Linked DNA regions of Rattus norvegicus. The protein of the gene in region 2 interacts with the protein of the main gene of each other region in a pairwise test. Links are inferred from orthologs where the notes say so. Each region holds a gene or a part of one and is shown on either strand. Other genes may lie near its edges.

The links.
Region 1: the proteins of Gimap5 (region 2) and Eda interact in binary tests that used the Homo sapiens proteins (3 or more experiments, as listed by UniProt). The two-hybrid records come from large-scale screens. The link is inferred for Rattus norvegicus from reciprocal best matches to the Homo sapiens genes GIMAP5 and EDA.
Region 3: the proteins of Gimap5 (region 2) and Lsmem2 interact in binary tests that used the Homo sapiens proteins (3 or more experiments, as listed by UniProt). The two-hybrid records come from large-scale screens. The link is inferred for Rattus norvegicus from reciprocal best matches to the Homo sapiens genes GIMAP5 and LSMEM2.

Annotation. Positions count from the first base shown.
Region 1 is NC_086039.1:69,513,754-69,517,343, forward strand, and holds part of Eda (ectodysplasin-A), read left to right. Parts: intron 1-828; coding exon 829-959; intron 960-1,490; coding exon of another isoform or gene 1,491-1,624; exon of another isoform or gene 1,625-2,693; intron 2,694-2,703; coding exon 2,704-2,955; 3' UTR 2,956-3,590. UniProt on the Homo sapiens protein: Cytokine which is involved in epithelial-mesenchymal signaling during morphogenesis of ectodermal organs. Functions as a ligand activating the DEATH-domain containing receptors EDAR and EDA2R. May also play a role in cell adhesion.
Region 2 is NC_086022.1:79,028,210-79,032,515, reverse strand, and holds the end of Gimap5 (GTPase IMAP family member 5), read right to left. Parts: intron 3,151-4,306; 5' UTR 3,145-3,150; coding exon 3,102-3,144; intron 1,823-3,101; exon of another isoform or gene 1,745-1,822; coding exon of another isoform or gene 1,648-1,744; coding exon 764-1,647; 3' UTR 599-763; downstream 1-598. UniProt on the Homo sapiens protein: Plays a role in T lymphocyte development and the optimal generation of CD4/CD8 double-positive thymocytes. Inhibitor of GSK3A, possibly by sequestering GSK3A in cytoplasmic vesicles and impairing its translocation to the nucleus.
Region 3 is NC_086026.1:117,146,435-117,150,698, forward strand, and holds the start of Lsmem2 (leucine-rich single-pass membrane protein 2), read right to left. Parts: upstream 2,867-4,264; 5' UTR 2,553-2,866; coding exon of another isoform or gene 2,531-2,552; intron 108-2,530; 5' UTR 5-107; coding exon 1-4.

The DNA.
Region 1 (3,590 bases), on a different chromosome or scaffold from region 2:
TTCTATCTGCAGGATGGGAGGAGAAGTGTTCCTCCATCCTCTCATGTTTGTGTCCCCAACTGACTTAAGGATATGAAAAAAATGCTTTACCAAGAGTGCCTCAACTCCTAGGCACATTCAGTCTACTGACACCTAAGAGGCTATCCCCCAGTATTGTAAAGCTCACTGTCTTTGGGGCCTGTTTACTGGCAGTCACTATCCCCAGCTGCCTTGGCATCTGAGTGATCACCCCTGATACTGAATTCCCACCATCTAGTTCTCCAGACAGATGGATTGTTTGATTAAGTGGTTTCCTGGGGCCCTCGGGAGGCTTCCCAGAAAGGAGTGGGTGTGGAGGAGCCATAGCAAAGAATCTATTAAGAAGAGACAAAAACACAGGAACATCTGAGACAAGAGAGGAATTCGGGTGATATTGCTAGCAAAGTGAAATTGAATACTAAGACTTAGCCTGCCACTCAGTGTCTGGATTTTGCCTGTGCAGTCACCATAACAACAAAGAAATGGTTATGTGCCTACTCTCCTCTTTCACCATCACCACCTCAGCTTCCAGCTAGAAGGTAAAGAGCCTTATTGATGGAATGGTCAAGAATGCAAGGACAAAGACTGATATGTAGACCCATAGGCACCCAGGCAAGCCTAGAAGCCACTTTACAAACAGTACACTTTTCCTGCTTCAAAATGTTCTTTTAAAATACTGGCCCTTGAAACGTTTATGGTCATTGGTGTTAGATGGGATTGGTGGGAAATGGGGATAACTGCTTGCTATTTATATCTGTTGTCCAGATTATGTTGACATGTACTGAGTGACTGCCCTTCTCTCATACTGAGATCTTTCAGGTGGAGTGCTCAATGACTGGTCTCGCATCACTATGAACCCCAAGGTGTTTAAGCTACATCCCCGCAGCGGGGAGCTGGAGGTACTGGTGGACGGCACCTACTTCATCTATAGTCAGGTAGAAGTGAGTACGGTCTTAGGCCTAACTCTTCTTATATCCAGGGTGCAGATATGGTGCAGGCCACCTAGGGGCACTGTGGAACAAGCCAAGACCATCCAATGGCTAACTTCTGGCAGTGCTGGGGAAAGGAGTGACAGATTTCACACTGGGAGGGAGTTGAAGGGAGGAAAGACCAAGGAACCCATTTCATTTTTCCCCTAGAAAAATATCACTGAAAAACTGTGTAAAGAGGCCTTTCCCACACCCTGCTGTCTGATCCCCTCTTGCAGGACCCCAGGCCCTCACTTCCCCTCTGAGTCGTTTGGTTCCACAGAAAGACCTGACCTTGCTCTAAGTTTTTAAGACTAAGTTTCAGAGCTGCAGAGACTCCTCCCCACAACACTGCTAGCTTGGGCGTGATAATGGACAGTGCTCCTGTGAACTTTCTCTCTACCTCAAGAAGATTTCTGACTGTCTTTCCTTCCTCTTTCTCCCATTTGTTTCTGTCTGTTTCTGTTGGTCTTGCCTCCTTCTTGCTATCATTCTCCTGACCTTTCTCCCCCTCTGCTTTTGTCCTTCTCCTGCCCTGGGCCCATTCCCCACAGGTCTGCCAGTGGCCATTCATTTTCATCCCTCATTCCGTGCCTCCATTGGGGCTCTCCTCAGAGCTGCAAGTACATAGGACTTGAGGTCAGGGTTTCCAGGAGGCAGGCAGTTAGCAGGCAGATGGACAGAAGGACTCTGGAATTGACAAATGGCTCTCAAGAAAAAGTGACTAGAGAAGTTGAGTTAACCAGTACCCGCCTGGCACACAGAGTATCCTTTTATTACTTGGTCCTGACCCAAAAGATGATGTGGCATTTAAATATGCTGCTTGTGAAGAGCCTGCAAAGTCATTTTTATGAAGTGATTTAAGGTGTCAAATGAAAGACAATCCCCACTCCTATGGGGCATGTGGGTATAATCCCAATATCCCACAAACTAAATTCCATTTGGTGGTGGTAAAAACATCAGAGCTGAAGGTCGGATGTGCTGGCAAATGGTGATGAAAGGTGGACATTAAATGTCTACACTCAGGAGAGGATCAGGAGTGGTCCGTGTGAGCTAAGAAAGTCTTCATGAGGCTAGGCCAGAGGCTCATACTTCCTCCTGGCCACAGAATGAAATTAGGCACCTAGGATTTGCATCCACTGTCTCATTTGTATAGGCCAGCTCCCCTTCTCTCGGGATCTGCTTCTTCAGTCAGCAAGAGAGGGGTCCAAGCTGTGCTGGGTCAGGGAAAGAAGCACAGGACAGAAGAGTACGCTGAGAACTTACGAAGCTCCTGTTCACAGAGAAATGGGAAGTCAGTACTGCGACCTCCCTGAGGCAGTTGAGCTTTCTAAGTCTATTCCGAAATTGTCTTTAGTGTGGGAACTGGAATTTGGGGTGTCCAGAGCATTGATTAAGCACCTAAGGAGTGCGAAGCACTGCTTCGTGCCAGGATTTTGGAGTGGAGCCTGTGAAATGGTACATAAGGCAGTTCTTGACCTCAGGCAGTCTGAAAGAAAGGTTTGCTCAGCTCTCTGAACCCATGGAGGAGGGGGAGGGCAGTGGGAACCTGTCACCCTGCTGTTCCTGCTGGCCAACAGGCACACTTTTGGGTGGCACTGCCCCTGCATGGGGTATACTGGCAGCTCATCTGAGGAGGATTTATCTGCTCACCAGGGGAGGGCCCCACCCTCTTTTTCCTCTCTCCCCCAATCCCTTCTCGTTGCCTCTCACCCAGGTGTACTACATCAACTTCACTGACTTTGCCAGCTACGAGGTGGTGGTGGATGAGAAGCCCTTCCTGCAGTGCACCCGCAGCATTGAGACAGGGAAGACCAACTACAACACTTGCTATACTGCAGGCGTGTGCCTCCTCAAGGCCAGGCAGAAAATTGCCGTGAAGATGGTGCACGCCGACATCTCTATCAATATGAGCAAGCACACCACCTTCTTTGGGGCCATCAGGCTGGGCGAAGCCCCTGCATCCTAGATTCTCCCTTTCCATCCTGCCCCATGCCCCTGCCCCAGGTTTGGGAGCCAGGACTCCCAGAACCTCTAAGTGCTGCTGTGTGTGGAATGAGGTATATTGCCGTTGCAGCCACAGAGAGAAATGCTCCATGCTATTTATTCCCCCGTGACTCCAGGATGACAAGGCCTACATGACTTCCCAGAATGACCTTGAGTTGCCAGTACAGTTGATGGAGCCCCAGGGTTTTCAAGAAGGAGAACCTTCTTAGGCTCCCTGTTGACTGGCTTATGGTGACTCCTCAACCCCTAAGTCCCTCATCAGATGTATCATTTGTTGCACTAAAATGAGGATCCAAGATAGTAGGCCACAAAAAACAAAGGTGCACTCCAGATTCTAGTGCTGATGGGGGCTGCTTCTTCTCTCCTGGCTGCGGGTGGCATTGGGTTGTAACTTAAGGAGAGGGTCAAGTCAGAAGAAGGCAAGTCCTTGTGGCAAAGACCTGGGCAATAACCTGCCAAGTATGTATCCTTGGTGGAAGAGGCATTCTTGCTGCATTGCACTAGAACCCACTAGAGGCTCAAAGAGAACTTCCCACTAAGGCCGAGGGGTATACTGTGGCAGCTTGCTGGACTCCAGAGCCAGGAACTTTGCTTTGC
Region 2 (4,306 bases):
AGAACAATGTTCTAGCTTCATACATGAAAATTACATGTAACTCAAAATTTGTTGCTCATCCGGTTTGTCAATGCATGGCCTCTTGACCATAGTGGCTTGTGCCCGCCTGTGCTGCCGAGGGCCTATACCTCCTACACAGTCTTCCAAGCCCTTTGTATCTCTGATCATAGACATTCTGGCTCCTGTGTTTCTTGACTGCTGACCCGGCTTTTTCTAGTGTAAGACCCACCCTGATCCTGTAACCTCTTCACTCAGTCCCCACTCACGTCCCAGCCTCTAACCTCAGTCTCTTCTGTACCTTCAGAGTCCTCTGCTTCCTGCACACCATCTTTATCTTTCTCAGGGGTGGAGTGATGATGGAGTTCTGACTTTATAGGTACCGTGAGGTCAGGGTGAACTTATGACTAAAATATAACTCTGCTCTAAGCTCTGCATTTCTCCTCTTAATATCACATCTGTAGGAAGTGGGGCTCTAGGTGAGACACACCCACTGCTGCACAGTTCCTGAGTCCTCCTTTGTGCAAGCCCCCAGACCTTTATGATGGTAGCTTCTTGCTCCATCATCTATCCTGACAACTTCAACAAAGAGAGAAACACATTCTTCTTTCATATTTTATTTACTTAACGGTATTTAGAAGGGTTCTACTGTGTCTCATGCACAGGAGTCAAATGATAGTGAAATTATTTGAAGACTGAGCTTCCCTAACATGGAGATGGGGAAATTTGGTGGACAGGGATAATGGCAGGATTCACCCAAAGAGACTCATTTCCACCTGCCAATGTACATATTAATTAAAGTGATGAGAAGGGTCAGACCAAGAACAATAAGAAGAACAGACACTGCAATGTGCCAGTCCAAGCAGGACGTGACTCTGCAAAGCATTTTAGCCATCCAGCTGCCCTCCTGCTCCTCCAGCTCCCTCTTCTGCTTCTCTACCTCCTGCCTCACCTTGGTCAGGTAGAACTTGTATGGCTCCTGGTGTTCACTGTAGCCACCTCTAAGGAACACCTGAGTATAAACGAAGAGGTCATTGCTGTGGAAGGAGCCCTCATGCTCCTGTTCCAGTCTTCTCACCAGGGCCATGAGCTCTGCCAGCTGCCCCTGCTGCTCCTCCCCAGAAGCCTTGTTATTAAAGGCACAGTACCTCCTCCCACACTCCTGAACCAGTCTGTGCAGGTCGAGGTTGCCTGTGTGGGTCACAAACTCTTCCAAGGACTCATCTGCCAGGTCTTCCTTGTGGGTGAAGAGGACAATCATGTACCTCATGACCCCTACCCCAAAGATCTGCTTCACCATCCTCACAGCCATGGCATCTTCGACTGTGTAGCGTCCCAGTTGGGTCACCAGCAACAACACATGGGGTCCTGGGGCACACATCAGGTAGCAGTTCCCAATGTCCTTGTCCATGTCTTGGTTCTGGATCTTTGACTCGAAGATGGGGGGCGTGTCCACCACTAGGAAGCTCCTTCCCTCCCATGTGCCCATCTCTGCCTGACTGGTCCTGGTCACAGACTGGCCTCTGAGCCTGGACTCGAACGCTGGTCTGCGGAGAATGCTGTTCCCTGTGGCACTTTTTCCGCAGCCAGATTTACCCACCAGGAGGATCCTCAGGAGGCCAGAGTCTTCTACACTGTAGGTTTCTTGTCCTGTAGACAAGAGAAAGTTTATGTTTCCCTTAGTGAGTCTTCTGACGTTGAGGTCATGGGTCCTTGTGGATAGTTCCTCAAAGCCATGGTCCTCCATCCCAGGAAAACAGGCATAACTCCATGCTCCTAACTGTTTGGCTATAAATTTAGGTGACTTTTGACTTTCACAGAGTCCCTGTTGGGAGTCACAGACAAGGGGTAGAAGTGTCGCATGAAGGCTCTGTGCCATCTGAACCAAGATAAACAGATCATTTCTGAAGAAAACGTCCTGTGTTCTCCCCCATTAGATGCTCAGGGAAGATCCCCAGAAAACTGGTCATGAAATTAGTAAGAGTTTGGAAGGAGGCAGAGACGGATGAGAAGTCATGACCGACAGAACAGTCACCTCCTTACCCACAATTCTCCAGACAGATTATCTAAATGTGCTCAGCCTGTGGAAGAGCCCCCAGTGACTCACATTCAGAGCTGTCTGGATATGCTAGGAAGCAAAACGGCAGTTGAATTTGAGATGAGAGATGGTGACAGTTACTGTCAGGTGGAAATCTGGGAACTGACACTACAGTGGGAGCTGGAGAAGGGTGGAAGAGAAGATGGATAGAAACACTGAGACGCAGACAAAGAGGACATGCCAGAGAGATCTTCTGATTGGTCCGGTGGGACCCAGGGAACAGGAGTGTGGGGGTGGGGTGGGGCGGGGGACTAGGGACCCCTTCACCAGCATTGAAGGGATAAGTATCTGGGGCTGTCCTGTGAGTCCAAACAAATTTTAAGTACGTTATAGACTAAAAGATCGCTCGTTTGGGTAGAAAGCTGGGGTGTAGCTCAGTGGTAGAATGCCCATCCAGCAAGCATGAGGCCCTCGGTTCAAGTCTCGGTGTTACAGAAAGCAAAAATGCTTACTTTATGTCTTTTACTCTGTGGGTTTGGTTTGTTTTTTTGGCTTGTTTTGTTTTTCATTTCCTTTAGACTTTCGGAGGTGTTTTGTAAGAAATCATTTTAAAGGATTTTTTTCAAAATTTTTGCAGCTGAGAGGAGATGAAGGAAGAGCACGTCTCAAAATTTAGTTCCAGGCCTGTCTAACTCTGAATGAGTGTCAAAGAAACATTTTCACAGTGTTACAGTGGAGTGTGTATGTGTACATGCTCATGCGTGTGCATATGCATGTATATACATGTGTATTTGTAAGCATGTATGCCTGTGTGAATGTGTGTCTGTCTGTACATGTATATGTGTTACATGTGTATTTGTATGTATGTATGTATATGTGTGTGCATGTGTATTATCTATATACATGAAAAAAACAATGACTTGGACACAATAGAACTGGAGGACAAACACCAGTCGTCTCCCCCGCCCTACATCTTAACTGAGCATCTGCACCTGTTTTGGAGTGGGACAAGGAACAGTTACTCCCTCCAGTTCTCAAGCTCTTTAGGACCTTGGTGTTTTCTTACCTTCAACTATAGTTCCATATGTGCTCTTCTGAAGGCCTTCCATTCTCTTCTGGAACAAAAATGGGAAAGGAATTAAAGTTGGGTCCCTGTGGGCACTGGTAAGGCACCTTGACTGGGGTGGCTAAGGGTAACTATTCTTGGGTGGCCAGTTCCATTGCTAACTCTCCCGCCTAGGTGTTACTTTCAAACATCTATAAATAACTGCTGGAGTGGGGTGGGGTCATCCCAGAACAATGAGCTATTGTATTGTTTTTCCTTACTAGGAGGAAAACATGTTCATTACTGAGGAACTGATGACCTCCTCAAGCTGAAAGTACAGAATGTGGGAAGCATTCCTCTATGAGCAAGAACTAGACCAGAACAAACCAAGCAAAAAACTAACAAACAACAACAATAAAAACTGGACCAACTTAGATGAACTTGCCAGAGTAGAGAACACAGTTGCCCTGCTGTGAATAACATTGATTTGTTTGAAGTGCCATGCATGTCCAGAAATGTTCCAGAGGCAAAGAAGCAATCCAGCATACTTTCCCTGGGAGGAATGAATGCAGTATGACAATTTCTCCAAGGACTGACCAAGAGGAAGGAGGTCAGGAGGTCAGACAAAGCATCTTCCCTGCCTGGTTCTGAGGTCCTGGTTTACCAAAAACCACAATCTTGTATCTTAGCACATTCTGCCAGAAACTAGATTGAGCATGGCATACATATTCTGTGAAAAGGACTGTAATGCTGTTTCACTGGTTTTGGTGTGGTAAAATGGAAGCATGCAACAGGAAGGGCTAGCCTGTGACACTAACTGCTCCTCGGTCAACTCCCAGCTCATGTTAGCTAGTTTTTAAACATTTTAGTTTTAAAGCATATTTGTACTTGGGAAAGGTACATGAAAGAAAACACAGAATAAAAACAAACAGCCACCATTTGCAATGAACATAAGTGATTTGCTGTTCCGGTATAGTTGCATGACCTAATTTAAAAATTAAACCGTCACAGATGTGCTTCATGGTTTTTGGTGTTCTCCCCAATCTTCTGTCTAACTCATTCTAGCCTTCACAGCAATCAGTATTTTGGTGCTTTTGTATGTTGTATTTTATGTATGTATATACATGCTTAGACAATTTCATCCTAAACCTTTACATAAGTGTCATTTTTGCAACACGCTACTCACTATTTTTATTAACAGACATCTAAACTGCTCTGAAATTGTT
Region 3 (4,264 bases), on a different chromosome or scaffold from region 2:
GCATGGCAGGAGTCCACTCTCTCTCCACAGTTTCATGCAACTTTGAGGCCTCCTCCCCATGGCTTCCCTCTGAGGCTATCTGGGCATTTTAGGTAGTTTCCAATTCTCTGTGGAATTAACCCCCAGGACATCCATCATTAAATAAGAAGGTTTTCCCCACTTTCCTGAAAGTTACTGAGGGCATTTCTCAGAAGTTGAAATCACTGGACCCAAGAACAGAGAGTTCTCTTTGAAGCTATCATCAAAACTGTCTTCTAAAAGGCCTGTCCAGAGCCCAGCAGTACAACATCGCACCATTAGGCATCCCACTGTGGGGAAAAGTGTGTTTGTGTGCATTGTGCCTGCACAGAAGCCAGAGGTCTTGCTGACCTGGCTCGGGAGCTCAACAAACAGCCTAGGCTCACTATGGAGCCCCAGGAACTCTTAACCTCACCAGACCTGGGATCAGAAGTGTATACCCCGTGATCTGCAGTCTACCTCCCAGACTTAAAGACTGACAGACAGCATCTGATTTTTGTCTTGCTTCTGAGCATGTCATGGGGCAGCCTCACACACATCATGTCCCCGGAGAAATGAACTCAGGTCTTCATACCTGCTAGACAAATCTTTTACAGAACCATCCCCAGACCCTGTATGCACATACCTTTACCTGTATTTGCTAATTTAAGATGAGAAACAGCTTGCCTTGATTGCTGCCTGGGGAGGCTGACCACGGGTGTAATTACCATTCACAGGTTCTGCCTATGTGGTCACTGGCCACGGTTCCCTTGCGGTTATATTTCAGATTTGGTTTTGTTTTGAGATAGTGACTCACTGTGCTGTCCCAGAACTCATTGCCTAAGCTAGGATAGGCTTAAAGTCGAAATTCTCTCGCCTCAGCCTATTACTGGTATTAAATGTGCGCGTCTCTCTCTCTCTCTACCCAGCTTTGTTATGTGTTAGCGACATGTGCGTGGTGAATGCTCGCTCCCATTTAGACGCTTGCAGCTGCCCCATCTCTTACTCTCCACCTTATTCCTTGAGACGGGACTCTTCCCAAGTCCAGAAATCAGGGGGGTTTGTTTGTTTGTTTGTTTTTGACAAGGGCAGCAACCAGCAAGCTCCAGTGACCTTCCTATCTTCCTGTCCCAATACACACAGCACTGGGGTTCTAAGGCACACAAGACCACACCCAGCTTGTCGCCTGGTACTGGGATCTGAACTCAGATCTCCTGGTTACAGCAAGTGTTTTTAATTACTGAGCCATCTCGTCCTCCTCCCGCCCCCTCCCCTGTTTAAGACAGTCTCAGCAAGTTTCCAGACTGGTATTGAGTACCTGGTTAATTCATGTGATCCCTCTGCCTCAGCATTCCAACTACTACCAAAATAGTTGTGATTTCTAAATAACTATAACTATACTTTCTGCTGGTGTGTTTGTTTGCTTAATTAATTTTCAAAACAGGGACTATGTAGACCTGGCCGCCTAGAATTCAGAATATAGACCAGGCTGGCCTTGAACTCACAGAGATCTGCTTGCCTGTACCTCCTGAGTGTGTACCACCAAGGTCTTTTTTTTTTTTTTTTTTTTTTTTGGTTCTTTTTTTCGGAGCTGGGGACCGAACCCAGGGCCTTGTGCTTCCTAGGCAAGCACTCTACCACTGAGCAAAATCCCCAACCCCCCAAGGTCTTTTATTGGATGTTTGTTACTTTGTTTTGTTTTGTCTCCACTCCACAAGAGCTCCAGATGCCTGCCAGGAACCTAGGTAACAGTGTAGCAGAGAACTGGGTAAGGCTGGCTGTTGGTCCTCTGGGCCCTCCCATCTCAGGACAGTAACTCAGCCCTTTATGACATGCTTGAAGCTGCCCCTTGCCAGGCTCACAAGCAATTCAAACAAAAAACCCGAGGCTGTCAGTCCTTAAGCCCCGGCAGTAGACTCCAAGCCACATTAAACCTCCTCTTGGCTCCTCACTGTGCTTCTCCCATAACTTATATTTGGACATGTTTTATTCGCTACAGAAAAAGACACATGGTAGGTGTTACAGTTAAGTCTCCCCGTCTCCCCCCAAAAAGATAAACACCTTCCCTTAGTAGAGAGCAGGCCCTTTCTCTGCAGCATAAAATATTGAGGGGGGACAGGATGGCTCAGCAGGTAAAGGCACTTGACTAGCTAAGTGTCAGCCTTGACCAGGCTGAGAGGTGTAGGACAGCCTCTCTACCTCATAGTCCCCTGGGCCAGGTGTCCAAATGTTCCCTGGAACCAGTCTTCATCCCAATCCTGGCTTCTTCTAGAAAGGGCTGCTTAGGAGCCCCCTAGATGCCCACACTTGCTTGGGCACAGCCTACAGCTGACCTGTTCCTAAGTGGAGAGCTTTGAGCCCCTCCCTGAGCCAGGACCTTAAGTGGAGGAGCCTTAGGTATTCTTTCTCCGTACATAGGGTAGGTCCCTAGGGCTGAGGTAAGAAAAGACTGAGGGTTCTCCCCATGAAGCTAGGTCTCTCCTTGACCCATAGGACTTGAGCCCTGTCCTCCCCAGTGGCCACCCTCTCCTACCTTCTTGGATCTCCTCAGGCATGGCAGTTGGTAGGTAGTCAGAGGCCCAATGAGAGTGCCCAGTAGCAGAACTGGACAAAGGCAGCAGTGGCTTCTTTCAGATTCTAGGAGAGGCCTGGCTGCCTCCCAACCTGGTCTTGAAATAGGCCTGAGCTCACTTTCCCTGAACTATATTTAGAGAGGGCAGCTCTGAACCATGAAAAGGGGCAGAGTGACCTGGATGGGCCGGCCTAAACTACCTACTTAGTGATGGGGCTCAGCCAAGGGCAAGCCTCTGCTAGCACATGGACAGAAGGAACTTCTCGGAAAACCACACCAACTTTATACACACCCAGACTTGGGAGCCTTCATCCCAATGCTCAGCACGCACCATGCAGCATGGTAGCAAAGGAACCCTGCACAGGTCCGCTCAGCCATCCCTCTCTCTCAGACCCTTTACCCACAGACTAGCCATCTCCTCCCAGCAATTGGAGACAACCACCCACCACTGTGTGACCATCTAGTACCAGATACTGGGGGTGGTGGACTGGGTGCAACTGGAGCCCAATGCCAAGGGTCTGGCAGCTCTACAAGGGCACCCATACAGTGGTCAGACCGGGATTAGAAACTGCTATTTCTAGTATTAAACTATAACCATGGGGAAAAAGAGTGGCCTTTACTTTTCTACCTATAGAATAGGAACAAGGGTTCCTGGCCAACCGTACTGAGAATACAAATGCAGAGGAATGGCTTAAGAGTTAGACATAACGGTCTTGGCTCTTGTCTCCTCTCCATAAGGCCATGTGGAGGCCTGTTGCTCACTCTTGAAGGGTGCCGTTCCAGCTTGCAGCCTTAGTCTGTGAGTGAACTCTGTTCTGCTTCTTCACAGCTGTGCAAAGCAAGACCATGGCAGGTCTACCTTCCAAACCATTCGGAATCCATAGTGTGATACCATATCAGCCTCCTTGGTGTTCCTCAGACAGAGAGGGTTTGTCCCCCGCTCCAAGACTTTGGTCCTTCTAGTCTGGAATGTTCTGTCACTGGACATCTGTGACTGGCTCCTTTCAGCTCAAACATCACCCACTCAGTGAATTCTTAATACATTCTTGCCCACAACATCCAGTATTGTTTGTTTGTTTGTTTGTTTTGTTTGTTTGTTTTTACTTCAGAGAGCTTGGCCCTGCTGCTAATGCACTGAGCCCCAGAGGCTCATTAGAACCAGCGTAATCATCTACTAACACTTTTAATCTCCACTACAGCCTTCTTGGATGGGAAAAGTACAGGCCTTGAGACCGCTAGGACAATGTCCGAGACCCCCAGCAAGGTCTAGGACTAGCTGCTATCTGCTGGGGCCATTCCAACATCAGCTGATAATGTGTTTATTGTATTACTTTAGTACAGTTGGCCTGCCTCACCCCACACTGGACAGCCTAATCTGTTCACAGCTTTCTCCTCGATGCCCAAGAAAGAGAATGCTTTCCCCAGGGCTGCCACCCAAGACATCTCTCTGGTTCCGCTCCACTCTGGAGCCCCACTTCTTGTCCCCTCCCTCCAGGTTAGATCCTGAATTGAGCTTGGGCCACTCTTCCAGGAATACATTCACGGGTTATCTTGTTAATAAATAAGCTACACTTGGGCCAGGGTTCATGTATGGGTTAGTTGTCTCCGTTGGCCCAACGATCTCAGTGTGCCCCAGCCACAACTCATCTGTCTTCCTGGCATCTATCTGCCCCCTCTTCGGTGTGTCATATCCAG